Linked DNA regions of Anolis sagrei. The protein of the gene in region 1 binds, or shares a complex with, the protein of each later gene. Links are inferred from orthologs where the notes say so. Each region holds a gene or a part of one and is shown in the gene's direction. Other genes may lie near its edges.

Region 1 (7,239 bases):
CATTAAAATATCTGCAGAAAGAATAATAATATCAACAGAAATATAGATTTCAATGGCTTCTCTGTATAGTCTAACCTGATGGTTGTCGGAGTGGTTTCTGTGTTCTCAAATAATATTTTGTGTCCAGTCGACACCTCCCAAACAGAGGGTGCCTCTAGTCAACAGAGGCCAAGCTACCTCTATGCAAATGCCTTCACTTATTGACCTTGCAGCTTCATGGCCACTCAGTGTTATTCAAGCTTGCTCACATTCACACTTTTTCCAAAAAGATATGGGGTTTCTCCCACCCTGGACATTATTCCACAGTGTATAAACAAAGACCACTGAACATCTCCCAGACAGAGGGTGCCTACAGGCAATACAGGCCAGGTTCCCTCTGTGCATATACCCTCACTGATTGACTTTGCAGCTGCAAGGCCACTCAATGCTATTCAAGCTTGCTGATTGCAACATCCACACTTCAAACAGACAAAGGTTCTTCCTCCCACCCTGGATATAGTTCCACAGGTAGATAGATAGATATTAAAAACACTCCACTTGCCTCATGGCTAGTAATCTGTACAAATAAAAATGTAATGTTCATTTGTGGGATTAACATAACTCAAAAACCACTGGACATATTGACACCAAATTTAGACACAATAAACCTATCAGGCCAACGAGTGACCATCACTCATAAAAAAAACTGAAAAACACAGCGGAAGGGACTTAAAAAGCCAAAAAACAAAAAATGTATTATAACGCATATGCAAAACCACATATATACACACACACACATATATATACACACACATATACACATAACACATATACACAGACTGGGCCACAGCAACGCATGGCAGGGGACAGCTAGTAACCCAATAATAATACTTCTCCCTCCCTGTTTTCCCCAGGACCGCCTGGCTCGCTGCACCATGCACTGCAACGACAAAGCCAAGGACGCCTTCGACTCGGGCAGCAAGGAGCCGCAGGTCAAGTCCCAGCTGGAGAACTGCGTCTCCCGCTGCGTGGAGGACCACCTCAGCCTCATCCCCAGCATGACCAAGAAGATGAAGGAGAACCTGGCTGGGATTGCGCAATAGAAAAAAAAAAGGGAAAGGCAGAAGGGATTGCAGCGGAGATCCCAATGGAGCTGGCCGCAAATGCAGAAGCAGGCAACAATGCAAAAGAGTTGGTGGCGGATTTCCTTACAGTGCAGAAACTCTCCTGTGATGGAGAGGAGGGGAGGAAAGAAATGGCCCTTTTCTTTTGGTGCTGTCTGAAATCCCGTACCTAACCCATGGTACGCAAAATTAAAAATAGGTATGGATATATCCACATCTCCCCCGCAAAAAAACAAAGCAAAGGTGCATCCACACTGTAGAGTTAATGCAGTTTAACAGCAATTTTACTGCCATGGCTCAATGTGATGGAATCCTGGGAGTTGTTTTTCAGTGAATCCCCAATTTGCCTGGCTGGAGGCCTTTCAAAACTGCAAACTCCCCAGATGCCTTTGCATCAAGCCACTGGAATTTAAAGTGGTATCAAACTGGATTAATTCAACAGTGTAGACTTAAATGCTGCACAAGTGCAATGAGAATGAGGACGCCCTTAGATTGTGCAGACAGCCATTCAAGATGGAGAATATGAATGAAAGCTGTGAAATGTATAGCTGCTCAGAGGCCATTCTTACGCATTCGGTTGCATTTTGTTCCAATGGGAACGACTCCTGGGACTGACAATCACCAATGCTGTTCCGATTTCCTATATTTTCCTCCTTCCCTTTAAACTGAAATATTTTCTAAAGAATTTAAATAATAATAAAAAAAACATGAAAACTCTACATTGCTGGGATTTCAGGCGTGTTGTGTTCCGAATTTATTTTTTTGGATATTCTTCATATTCACCTGAAACAAGCCTTGCATTTAAGGGATTGAAGTTGTTATTTAATTGCTGTCAAATTGACATGAATTTATGGCAGTCCCTCAAATAATCCCATCATCCACAGATCTTCCTCTTTTCCTTTGGCCTTTCCAAGCATTATTCTTTTTTTGAAATGATATGGTCAGGTTTAGCCACCTTGGCTTCTACTTGATATTTTTATTGTAATTGCCTGATTTTGCACTTTTATTTTAAATATTATATTCAATATCTACAGACATATATAATTTGATATATTTAATTATACATAATATAATAAATGAAATACTAATTTATAATATAATATATATTAATATTATACATACATATAAAATTTGATATTGCCTACTTTTTGCACTTTCAGTTCAATATATATGTATTTGCACTTTTTATTTATCATATATATATATATATATATATATATGATAAATAAAAAGTGCAAATAAATATATATTCAACTGAAATATATATGTATTTGCACTTTTATATCTGGATGCATGTATATACACACATGCACACACGTGTGTGTATGTGTACCATACACTATTACTTATTTTTCATTTTTACTTTAGATATAAATATATATGTGCATATACATATATATATATACACACACTCACTCACATTGATATATATATATATATATATATATATATACACACACACACACACACACATATATGGATACACACACAAATATGTTTGTATATGTATATTTTATATATATATTATCCTTTTTACTTTATATATAAATATATATGTGCATATACATATATATATATACACACACACGTGTGTGTGTGTGTGTATTACATATAATATATAATATATATAACCTGATTTTGCGCATAGCTGTCCCCTGCCACACATTGCTGTGGCCCAGTCTGTTGATCTGGAAAATAAAGTAATGAGAAAGTATTGGTTTCTAATATATGTAATCTCTTTATGCTTGTGGGTAAACAGTATTTCTAATTGTTTCTTTGTCAGTGTTGATGTGGAGAGTGTCTGGTTTGCCTACTCTGGAACATGCAACATAGAATTGTCCGTCTTTAGGGGTCCCTTTCAAATCTATGATACTATATCTCTGTGTGTGTGTGAATCATATCTATATCTATCTATGGCTGGATGGCTCTTTGTCAGGAGGGCTTTGATTACGTTTTCTTTCCCTGGTTGGACTGGATAGCCTTAAGTATTTTCTGTTGGTTTTGCGAGTTCTGTGTGGGAAGTTTTGCCCCAATGCAGTAGCTGGTGGAGTTCAGAATGCTCTTTGATTGTAGGTGAACTATAAATCCCAGCAACTATTAATCCCAAATGTCAAGGTCTATTTCCCCAAACTTCATTTGTGTTCACATTTGGGCATATTGAGTATTCGTGCCAAGTTTGGTCCAGATCCATCATTGTTTGAGTTCACAGCTCTCTGGATATAGGTGAACTTCAACTCCCAAACTCAAGGTCAGTGCCCACCAAACCCTTCCAGTATTTTCTGTTGGTCATGGCAATTCTGTGTGCCAAGTTTGGTTAAATTCCATCATTGATTTAGTTCAGAATGCTCTTTGATTATAGGTTAACTATAAATCCCAGCAACTACATCTCCCAAATGACAAAATCATAATTTTTGAGTGATGCTCACTCCTTGTGTTGTGAGACATTTTCTTGCCAAATTTGGTGTGATTTTGTTCATTGGTTCTTTTGTTTTAAAGATACTCGTTATGCACAGAGCATTTTTATATATGTAGATAATTATATATTGTGTGCATGTATATGCCACATTAAAGATGATCCTATTTTTATCTAGAATTCTTTCAGGTGTCCCTATATGGTTATGCAACCATATTCCAGTTTTCGGAAAAGATCCTTTCTTGGATCCCAGAATTCCTGACTGTGAGAGCCGTTCAGCAGTGGAACTCTCTGCCCCCCAGTGTGGTGGAGGTTCCTTCTTTGGAAGCTTTTAAACAGAGGCTGGATGGCCATCTGTCAGGGGTGCTTTGAATGCAATATTCCTGCTTCTTGGCAGGGGGTTGGACTGGATGGCCCATGAGGTCTCTTCCAACTCTTTGATTCTATGAATTTTCATCCACTGAAAAGATCTGAGCTTTCCCACGTGCTGCTACAAAGGAAAGGGCGCGCATTAGGACCGCCCGGATCTCTGGGAAAAAAGGAGGTTCCTCTAAAAACGAGTGGGCGGGGATTTCATCTGCTAGACCTCTGATTGGAAGACAGGACTGTGAAGGTGGAGCTTAGCTCTCCTCCCTGCAGCGATTGGTTGATTGTTAGTGTGAGGCGGGTTTATGTCTTCCTCCTCTAGTCAAGTTTTTGCGCTTGCGCGACGGCCTCTTCCTGATTGGTAGGGCGAAGCGTCGTGACGTCATACGCTGGCTGAGGCGAAGGAGAACATTCGGAGAGCGTGAGGGAAGCGGCGTGTGAAGAGGAACCATGAGCAAAGCGCACCCGCCCGAGCTGAAGAAGTGAGTCAAGGCCCGGGAAGCCGGCGGGGCAGTGGGGCGGCCGGGAATTGAACGCGAAAGAGTCGGGAACGAAGCGGGCTGAGGAAGACCGCTAGGCCGGTTGGGGCCTACTCGCTTCCCAGCATGCATTGCTCCAACCGGGTTCGCCCATAGAGTTACGAAAAACTTAGAGCCATTCAAACTTGCAAAGCTTCTATTTATTGATTTACGAGAGTTCTTTCTTCCACCCTGGGCATTATCCCACAGATATATAAACCCCATTTACCTAATTTCCAACACAGAAGCTAACAAATTGAAATTGAATCCAGACAAGACAGAGGTCCTACTGGTCAGTCGTAAGGCGGAACAGGGTATAGGGTTACAGCCTGTGTTAGATGGGGTTACACTCCTCCTGAAGACTCAGGTTCGCAGCTTGGGAGTGATGCTGGACTCATCGCTGAGCCTGGAATCCCAGGTCTCAGCAGTGGCCTGGAGAGCTTTTGCACAATTAAAACTTGTGCACCAGTTGTGCACAAGTTGGGAAGTCTGATCTGGCCACGGTGGTCCACGCTCTTGTTATATCCCGAATAGACTACTGCAACGCTCTCTACATGGGGTTGCCCTTGAAGACTGTTCGGAAACTTCAACTAGTCCAGCGAGCGGCAGCCAGACTGCTCACTGGAGCGACATACAGGGAGCATACCACCCCCCTGCTGTGTCAGCTCCACTGGCTGCCGATTCAGTTCCGAGCACAATTCAAGGTGCTGGTTTTGACCTACAAAACCCTGTACGGTTCCGGTCCAGTGTATCTGTCCGAACGTATCTCCCTCTACGCCCCACCCCGGAGTTTGAGATCATCTGGGGAGGCCCTGCTCTCGACCCCACCACTGTCTCAAGCGAGGCTGGTGGGGACGAGGAGCAGGGCTTTCTCAGTGGTGGCCCCTCACCTGTGGAACTCTCTCCCAGGGGAAATCAGGGCATCATCATCCCTCCTCGCCTTCAGGAGGAGGGTGAAGACGTGGTTATGGGACCAGGCCTTTGGGCACTTTGGCAATTAAATCAGACAATCAGGCGAGTAAGATCAACAGGATTGATGAAGTGGAACGTAAAACTAGATCTATCAGTTAGCGAACGTTGACCATGTAAGAGGAGAAATTGGGTTTGTATTGGTTTTATTGATTTTATGGTTATAATGCATGAATTGTTGTCAACTGTGAATTGATGTAATTTTGTGTATGATTGTTTTTATGATGCAGGCATCAAATTGTGCCTTGCCTCTGTAAGCTGCCCTGAGTCCCCTTCGGGGTGAGAAGGGCAGGGTAAAAGAACCCCAAATAAATAAATTGAAATCCACAAGCACGTGGACAAATTCAACAGAAAGGAGGAAACCATGAAAATGAACAAAATCTGGCTACCAATATTTAAAAAAACTAAAATTACAACAGCAAAACAACAGAGGAAAAACAATCAGAGGCATCTAATCACCTCTCAACAAAAGATTGCCCCAGGCACTGCCAGGACATCAAATGCTAATCAAGGTGGTCAGTTGAAACATTCACACCTAGCTCCAACAGACAAAGGTTCTTTGTCCCACCCTGGTCATTCCACAGATATATAAATCCCATTTACCTAGTTTCCAACAGACCTCACAACCTCTGATGATGCCTGCCATAGATGCAGGCGAAACGTCAGGAGAGAATGCTTCTGGAATATGGCCGTACAGCCCAAAAAACCTACGACAACCCAGTGATTCCGGCCTTTCATGGCCTTCAACAATACATTATTATTATTATTATTATTATTATTAAGAGGTCACAATAAATATGAAATACTAACTGCCCCCTGCCACACATTGCTGTGGCCCAGTCTGTGTATTTGTGCTTTGTGTGTGCATATATTTGTATTTTTGTATATATATGTGTGTGTTTGCGTGGTTATGTGCATGCATTGTAATGTTTTTTTTTTGGTTTTTTTTTTGCTTTTTAAGTCACTTCCACTGTGTTTTTTCAGTGTTTTTATGAGTGATGGTCACTCTTTGGCCTGATGTGTATTGTGTCCAAATTTGGTGTCAATTCGTCCAGTGGTTTTTGAGTTGTGTTAATCTCACAAATTAACATTACATTTTTATTTATATTATCCCACCCCGAAGGGGACTCTGTAATATAAATAATAATAGTATATTATTAGCACAGCACAATATTATGTCCTTCCGTAAGAGCCTCAAGACATGGCTATTTGAGAAGGCATTTAACTGAGTGCTACAGTAACTGGAAATGACAACTGGAACGGAATATGGATTACGAGATTGGTTATGATTCTACTATAAGACGGAGCGGATTTTTAGTGTAATTAGATAACTGTGTATTAGTGATATATTGATTTTTGTTGTTATGGCTTGATTGTAAACTGTCTTTTATATATTGTACACCGCCGTGAGTCGCACTAAAGGGCTGAGAACGGCGGTTAATAAATGCAGCAAATAAATAAATAAATAAATAAATAAATATTAGTATTGTATCTTACTATGTTGTACTATACCACTATACTGTAATATTACTAGTAATATTACATGCAATATGAAATATATAATTGTTATAATGTATTACTAATATTATATTGCATTACTAATATTATATTGCATTACATTATAACATTATCAATACTATATGTGTATACAATATATAATATTAGCACAGCACAATATTAGTATTATGTATTACTATATTGTTGCTGGGGGGGGGAGGGGCTCCCAACTGATGACCCAGGAGACATGGTGGAACTCTGTCTTTCTGGCTTCCCCTTTTCACTGTGGCTCCAGAGCATTTATCATATTTATTCAAACTTGCAAGGCTTCTAATATGTCACAAAGGGAGAACAAGGAGAAAATGATGTGGGG
Region 2 (7,449 bases), on another chromosome or scaffold:
CAGTCTGTGTATATGTGTTTTGTGTGTATATATTTGTCTATATATGTGTGTTTGTATATATGTGGGGGTATATATGTGTGTGTATATATTTGTGTATTTATATGTGTACATGCATATTATGTATGTGTGTGTTTGTCTATAAGCAAATTTGTGTGTATGCATATGTATATGTGCATGTGTATTATATATGTGTGTATATGTGTATATTTGTGTGTATTTGTGCATATATATACATGTGTGTATTAATGTGTGCATGTGTATATGTATATGAGTGTATGTGTATATGTATATATGGTGTCTTTTCTTGGGTTTTTAAGTCTGGTCTGGTGGGGTTGTGTGTGTGTGTGTGTGTGTTTAGGGGGGATGGGACAGCTTAAGACCAAACCTACAGAATCCATCTTGTTTGGAATTTGGGGACTGCCTGTATGTGTATATGTGTGTGTCTGTGTGTGTGTGTGTGTGTTTGCAAGTGTGTATACCCATCAACTGAGGGTACAGTTGATGGGTATACACACGTGTCATGACTTGATGGTCTGGAATCATGGGAAGTGTAGGTTGGTATCAGCACTCATTGGTAAAGAAGGCAAAACATCTTGTAAAATTACAGCTCCCCTGATTCCATATCATTGAGCTATGGCAGTTAAAGTGGTGTCAAACTGCATTAATTCTACAGTGTACATGCACCCTGAACTCTCAATTACTCAAGTTACTTCCAACACAATATGAATAGGATCACAACTATGGAAACAATGAAGATGGCATCCTATACACACTTACTTGAGATTAATCCACACTTTTCCAAAATATGTGTAGGACATTACATTCTAAAATGTAATTCAAAGAGGACCAATTCCACCACTTGATTATCTGATATCTGTTAGTTTTCCCAAGTTGTCAAATTAATAGCTATCTCATGCACTCTTCTGTTCAGAGGTTGTCACTGCAGCTAGTGGCCAAAGCCAGCACTTTGAATTGGGCCTGGTAGTAATCTGGCAGCCATGGCTTCTGCATCCCAATCTAGCCCTATATGCCAGAATATCAGGGCAAAAAAATCCCACAGTATCTGCTTTGAACTAAGACTACACTGCCATATTTCCCAGTTCAAAGCAAATAATGTGGGATTTTATTTAGCTGTGTGGAAGGGGCCACAGAGGGTTTGCTAGAGTTAGCATCCTTTTGTGGCTTAAGTTTAAAATCATGCAAATATATATATATGCATATGCATACATGCCTACATTCACACACACATCTCTGCAGCTCTCATGAGAAAAAACAATCAGAATAGAAGAAATAGAAGAGGCAATACGATCTGCCAAAAGTAATAAAGCTCCAGGGCCAGATGGTTAAAAAAAAAAAAAAGAATTGTGCTGAATAACGGTTTACCTACACTGATACCACTTTAACTGCCAGGACTCGATGCTAGAGATTCACAGAAGTTGTACTTTTACAAGATCTTTCGCCTTCTCTTTCTCCGTTTATCATTCCAGAAGTTTCTTTTTTTTGTTGTTTCAAAAAATGCACAACTTTTTATTTCTTATCTGCCTCTCCTTGTCTCACGGTGGGTTAGAGTGTCATTGAAACACATAAACATTGTAAAAATACAATACAATAAATTTCTATAAAATGAACATATTATACCTAAATACACCTAAAACAAACCATACATTATTAAATTTTTTTGTAATGTATTTCCAAAAAACGAATCCAAGGCTGAAATTAAAATTGCTGGAAGAAACATTAACAACCTTAGATATGCAGATGATACCACTTTGATGGCCAAAAGCGAGGATGAGCTGAGGAGCCTTCTAACCAAGGTGAAAGAAGAAAGTGCAAAGGCTGGGTTGCAGTTAAACATCAAAAAAACCAAGATTGTGGCAACAAGACTGATAGATAACTGGCAAATAGAGGGAGAAAATGTGGAGGCAGTGACAGACTTTGTATTCCTAGGCGCAAAGATTATTGCAGATGCAGACTGCAGCCAGGAAATCAGAAGATGTTTACTTCTTGGGAGGAGAGCCATGACCAATCTCGGTAGAATAGTGAAGAGTAGAGACATCACACTGGCAATGAAGATATGAATAGTTAAAGCAATGGTATTCCCCAAAGTAACATATGGATACTAGAGCTGGACTATGTGGAAAGCTGAGCGAAGGAAGATAGACGCTTTTGAACTCTGGTGTTGGAGGAAAATTCTGAGAGTGCCTTGGACCACAAGAAGATCCAACCAGTCCATATCAAATCATAGTAGCACTGCAGAACTTTCTCTTGAAAAGAGCTGTTCTCATATCACTCACTTCCAAAGTCTCCTCGTTTGGCTGCTTCAGATCTATTCAGTTGAAGAAAAAGGATCACATCTGGTTTTGGAAGCCCCACATCAGGTTGTTTACACCATTCTAAAGAGAGGTTCTCTTTAGCACCTTTAGCACCATTCCCTCCAATGAGCCCGACTGCTCATTGGAGGGAAGGATAGTAGAGAGAAAGATGTACTTTGGCCACATAATGGGGAGACAGGAAAGCTTAGAGAAGACAATGGTGCTGGGGAAAAAGGAAGGAAGAAGGAAGAGGGGCTGACCAAGGGCAAGATGGATGGATGGTATCCTTGAAGTGACTGTCTTGACTCTTAAGAAGCTGGGGGTGGTGACAGCCAACAGGGAGCTCTGACGTGGGCTGGTCCATGAGGTCACAAGGAGTCGGAAGCGACTGAATAAATATAAAAAACAATTTCCATTTTTAAAGAAAATTCGGTACACTCCTAACAGTTTACTGTTTTGGAATGGATTTAATTATTTGCACCCCATTCCCCAAATACAGACACTATTATCATTTTATCATGCTGGAAATTTTTTTTCTTGTTGTTTCAAAAAGTGCACAACTTTTAATAGTTTTTAATTCAGGAATGTATTTATTTGAAATCCCCCCCCCCCCAATGAATAATATATTTTTATTTCTTACCTGCCTCTCCTTGTGTCTCAAGGTGGGTTACAGTATAATTGTAACACATAAAGATTGTAAATAATTTTATTGTTCATTTTTCAAATATAACAACCTAAAAATACATTGAAGCGATGGTCTTCCACCATCAACTCCGCTGGACCGGCCACGTTGTCCGAATGCCCAACCACTGTCTCACAAAGTAGTTGCTCTACTCCGAACTCAAGAACAGAAAAGGGAATGTTGGAGGACAGGAAAAGAGGTTTAAAGATGGGCTCAATGAAACCTTAAAAACTCTGGCATAGACACTGAGAACTGGGAAGCCCTGGCCCGTGAGTGCTCTAGCTGGAGGTCAGCCATGACCAGCACTGCTGTAGAATTTGAAGAGGCATGAATGGAGGGCGAAAGAGAGAAATGTGCTAAGAGGAAGGCGTGTCAAGCCAACCCCAACCAGGACCGCCTTCCACCTGGAAACCAATGCCCTCACCGTGGGAGAAGATGCAGATCATGAATAGGGCTCCACAGTCACCTACGAACCCACTGCCAGAACACCCATCTTGGAAGACAATCCTACTCGGACGAGGGATCACCTAAGTAATTACAATAAAATGAATTTCTATAAAACACACTAGCCATCCCCTGGGCCACACGTTGCTGTGGCCCAGTCTGTGTATATGTGTTTTGTGTGTGTATATATGTTTGTGTACTTACTTACTTACTTACTTACTTAGGCGATCCCTCCTTGTCCGAGTAAGATTGTCCTCCAAGTTCGGTGTTTGTGTATATGTGTATATATGTGAGTTTGTGTATATATGTGGTTTTGTGTATAATGTAATTCTTATTTCTGTCTTTTTAAGTCTCTTCTGCTGTGTTTTAAGGTGTTTTTTATCAGTGATGGTCACTTGTTGACCTGATAGGTGTATTGTGTCCCAATTTGGTGTCAATTAGTCCAGTGGTTTTTGAGTTATGTTAATCCCACAAACGAACATTACATTTTTATTTATATAGATGTTACACTTAAATACACCTAAAACAAACTATACATTATTTAAATTTTGCTATATATACAAAATAGTAGTAATAATAATAATAATGCAATGCACTCTTAAGAGTTTACTATTCTGGAATGGATTTAATAATTTGCACACACTCTTAAAAGTTTATCAGTCTGGAACCAATTTTTTTAAATGTTTTCAGAGCAAAGTGCAAAATAAAGAAATATAATCCAGAATTATATACTTTTAAGACTGTATATATTTTGGGGATGGGAATAAAAACATTCCAGAATGATGAATTGCCTTGTTTTGTAGGGAAAAGGTATACAAATAATAACTGACTGCAGGACACTCCATCTCTACCACTTACAACTCACTTTTGCTATTTTGGCTTCACCTAAGCCCCGCCCCTTGAGCGAATGACGTAGTCGATCCGGACTCCGCCCCATTTCCCCGCCACTTAAGACCGCATGGTTCTTCTGCGCATGCGCTGCGGAGAAGAGTGTCGTCAGTTCCTTCAGGGTAAAGAAGAAAACCTCCAAAGCACCGGAAGTGCTCTGTGGTGACTAACGGAAGTAGGTTCGGCGTTGGATCTGGAAGGCTTCTGCTGAAGGAGCTGGGTCGTTGTGGCGGGAAGAGTTGTGGAGACGAGACGACAAGATGGTGGAGGTGAGGGAAAAAGGACTCTTTCTTGGCCGGGCATTGAAATGCCGGGCTGCCGGAGTTTAAGGAATGAAGACCAGTTTAAGGGATGGCGCGGGAGGATGCTGGTGGTTTCTGTATTGTCTCAGGAGTATTTCGTTGCTATCTGTTATTCCACTTGGGCGTGTTTTCACTCGGAATAATTTGTATTTACAGCATAGAGCAGGCATGGGCAAACTTCGAGCCTCCAGGTGTTTTGGACTTCAACTCCCACAATTCCTAACAGCCTCCGGCTGTTAAGAATTGTGGGAGTTGAAGTCCAAAACACCTGGAGGCCCGAAGTTTGCCCATGCCTGGCTTAGACTGAAAAAAAGCAGCGAGATCTCTCAAGCTTAAACAAGAAATTAAGTTATGTTCTGTATAGACCTTATACATAGGCCTAAGGTGATTTTGCTTACGATATTTTAAATAATTAAAGTGTATGAAGGTGACAGTCTCAGCCATTGATGTGGACCATTGTGGAGTATTTTGGATTTCAGGAATTCTGGATAAGAGACGCTCAGCTGGTAACGAAAGTTGCAATATCTTCCTTCCCCGGTCTGCCCACCCCTCCAGAATCTCCCAAACCAATTGTGTGTGTGTATATATATATAATTATATATATATATCCTGGTTTATCTCTCGATATGGAGACTCAAAGTGCCTCACAATCAAAAATATTACAAATTCAAATATACAATAAGAGTACAGTATATTATTATATATTATAAGTAGTAATTATCTATATAAATAAAAATGTAATGTTCGTTTGTGAGATTAACATAACTCAAAAACCACTGGACAAATTGACACAAAATTTAGCAGTATTCTCACCTCCATTCGAGGGACTCAGGCTGGTTTCCAACATCCATATTGCAAACAGTCATTAAAACATCATATTCTAAATCACACTAAAACATTAAAATACAGTCATATGATTACAGTGGTCAGTCGTCATCAAAAATCATTATTCGTCGTCATCCATCCATATCACAGGGTCATGGCTCATTCGTCGAAAGCCAATCCCCAAAGCCAAGTTTTCACATGTTTCCTGAACGTTAAGATAGAAGGCTCCAGCAAAGGATCGCCGCCTTGTCGGGGCGCTGGAGCTTGAGCACCTCAATGATGTCATGAGCGAAACCGTGAAGGGACACCCAAGACGGGACGGTTGTGGCAGAGAGGTCAGACCAAGCGTGATCCCTGGGGAAGGCAATGGCAAACCACTCCAGTATCCTTGCCAAGAAAACTAAATGGACCAGTACAATCAGAGATATGTCGGTATGCCATTGGAAGATGGGACTCCCAGGTCGGAAGATGGCCAAAATGCTACTGGGGAGGAGCAGAGGATAAGTTCAACTAGCCCCAGATGTGATGACGCAGCTAGCTCAAAGCCGAAAGGAAGGCTAGCGGCCGACGGTACTGGAGGTGAACGACGAATCCGATGCTCTAAAGATCAACACACCATAGGAACCTGGAATGTAAGATCTATGAGCCAGGGCAAATTGGATGTTGTTATTGGTGAGATGTCAAGACTAAAGATAGACATTCTGGGGGTCAGCGAACTGAAATGGACTGGAATGGGCCACTTCACATCAGATGACCACCAGATCTACTACTGCGGACAAGAGGAACATCGAAGAAATGGAGTAGCCTTCATAATTAATAAGAAATTCGCTAAAGCGGTGCTTGGATACAACCCAAAAAATGACAGAATGATCTCAATTCGAGTGCAAGGAAAGCCTTTCAACATCACAGTGATCCAAATATACGCCCCAACCACAGCTGCTGAAGAAGCAGAAGTAGATCAGTTCTATGAGGATCTGCAGGACCTACTGGATAATACACCAAAAAGAGACATTATTTTCATTACAGGAGACTGGAATGCCAAGGTGGGAAGTCAAATGACAACTGGGATCACAGGCAAGCATGGTCTGGGAGAACAAAATGAAGCGGGACGCAGGCTGATAGAATTCTGCCAGGAAAACTCGCTGTGTATAACGAATACTCTCTTCCAACAACCTAAAAGACGGCTTTATACATGGACCTCACCAGATGGTCAACACCGAAATCAGATTGACTACATCCTTTGCAGCCAAAGGTGGCGGACATCCATCCAGTCCGTGAAAACAAGACCTGGGGCTGACTGCAGCTCAGATCACGAACTTCTTATTGCCCAATTTAGAATAAAACTAAAGAGATCAGGGAAAATACACAGACCAGTTAGATATGATCTCACTAACATTCCTAGCGAATATACAGTGGAAGTGAAGAACAGATTTGAAGGACTAGATTTAGTAAACAGAGTCCCAGAAGAACTATGGACAGAAGTCCGTGACATTGTTCAGGAGATGGCAACAAAGTACGTTCCAAAGAAAAAGAAAACCAAGAAGGCAAAATGGTTGTCTGCTGAGACACTGGAAGTAGCCCAAGAAAGGAGGAAAGCAAAAGGAAACAGTGAAAAGGGGAGATATGCCCAGTTAAATGCGCAATTCCAGAGGTTAGCCAGAAGAGATAAGGAACTATTTTTAAATAAGCAATGCATGGAAGTGGAAGAAGACAACAGAATAGGAAGGACAAGAGACCTCTTCCAGAAAATTAGAAACATTGGAGGTAAATTTCAGGCAAAAATTGGTATGATAAGAAACAAAGATGGCAGGGACCTAACAGAAGCTGAAGAGATCAAGAGAAGGTGGCGAGACTATACAGAAGATCTATATAGGAAGGATAACAATATCGAGGATAGCTTTGATGGTGTGGTGAATGAATTAGAACCAGACATCCTGAGGAGTGAGGTTGAATGGGCCTTAAGAAGCATTGCTAACAACAAGGCAGCAGGAGATGA

The links. Proteins that work in one complex are often made in the same cells at the same time.
Region 2: SNRPG (region 1) and PLRG1 share a complex: the UniProt entries of both Homo sapiens proteins name them as parts of the minor spliceosome. The link is inferred for Anolis sagrei from reciprocal best matches to the Homo sapiens genes SNRPG and PLRG1.

What each region holds. Positions count from the first base shown.
Region 1 is NC_090027.1:20,748,018-20,755,256, forward strand, and holds the start of SNRPG (small nuclear ribonucleoprotein G), read left to right. Parts: upstream 1-4,234; 5' UTR 4,235-4,332; coding exon 4,333-4,364; intron 4,365-7,239. Other genes in the region: protein FAM136A, read left to right, coding at 894-1,082. UniProt on the Homo sapiens protein: Plays a role in pre-mRNA splicing as a core component of the spliceosomal U1, U2, U4 and U5 small nuclear ribonucleoproteins (snRNPs), the building blocks of the spliceosome.
Region 2 is NC_090025.1:52,016,716-52,024,164, reverse strand, and holds the start of PLRG1 (pleiotropic regulator 1), read left to right. Parts: upstream 1-4,435; 5' UTR 4,436-4,586; coding exon 4,587-4,595; intron 4,596-7,449. UniProt on the Homo sapiens protein: Involved in pre-mRNA splicing as component of the spliceosome. Component of the PRP19-CDC5L complex that forms an integral part of the spliceosome and is required for activating pre-mRNA splicing.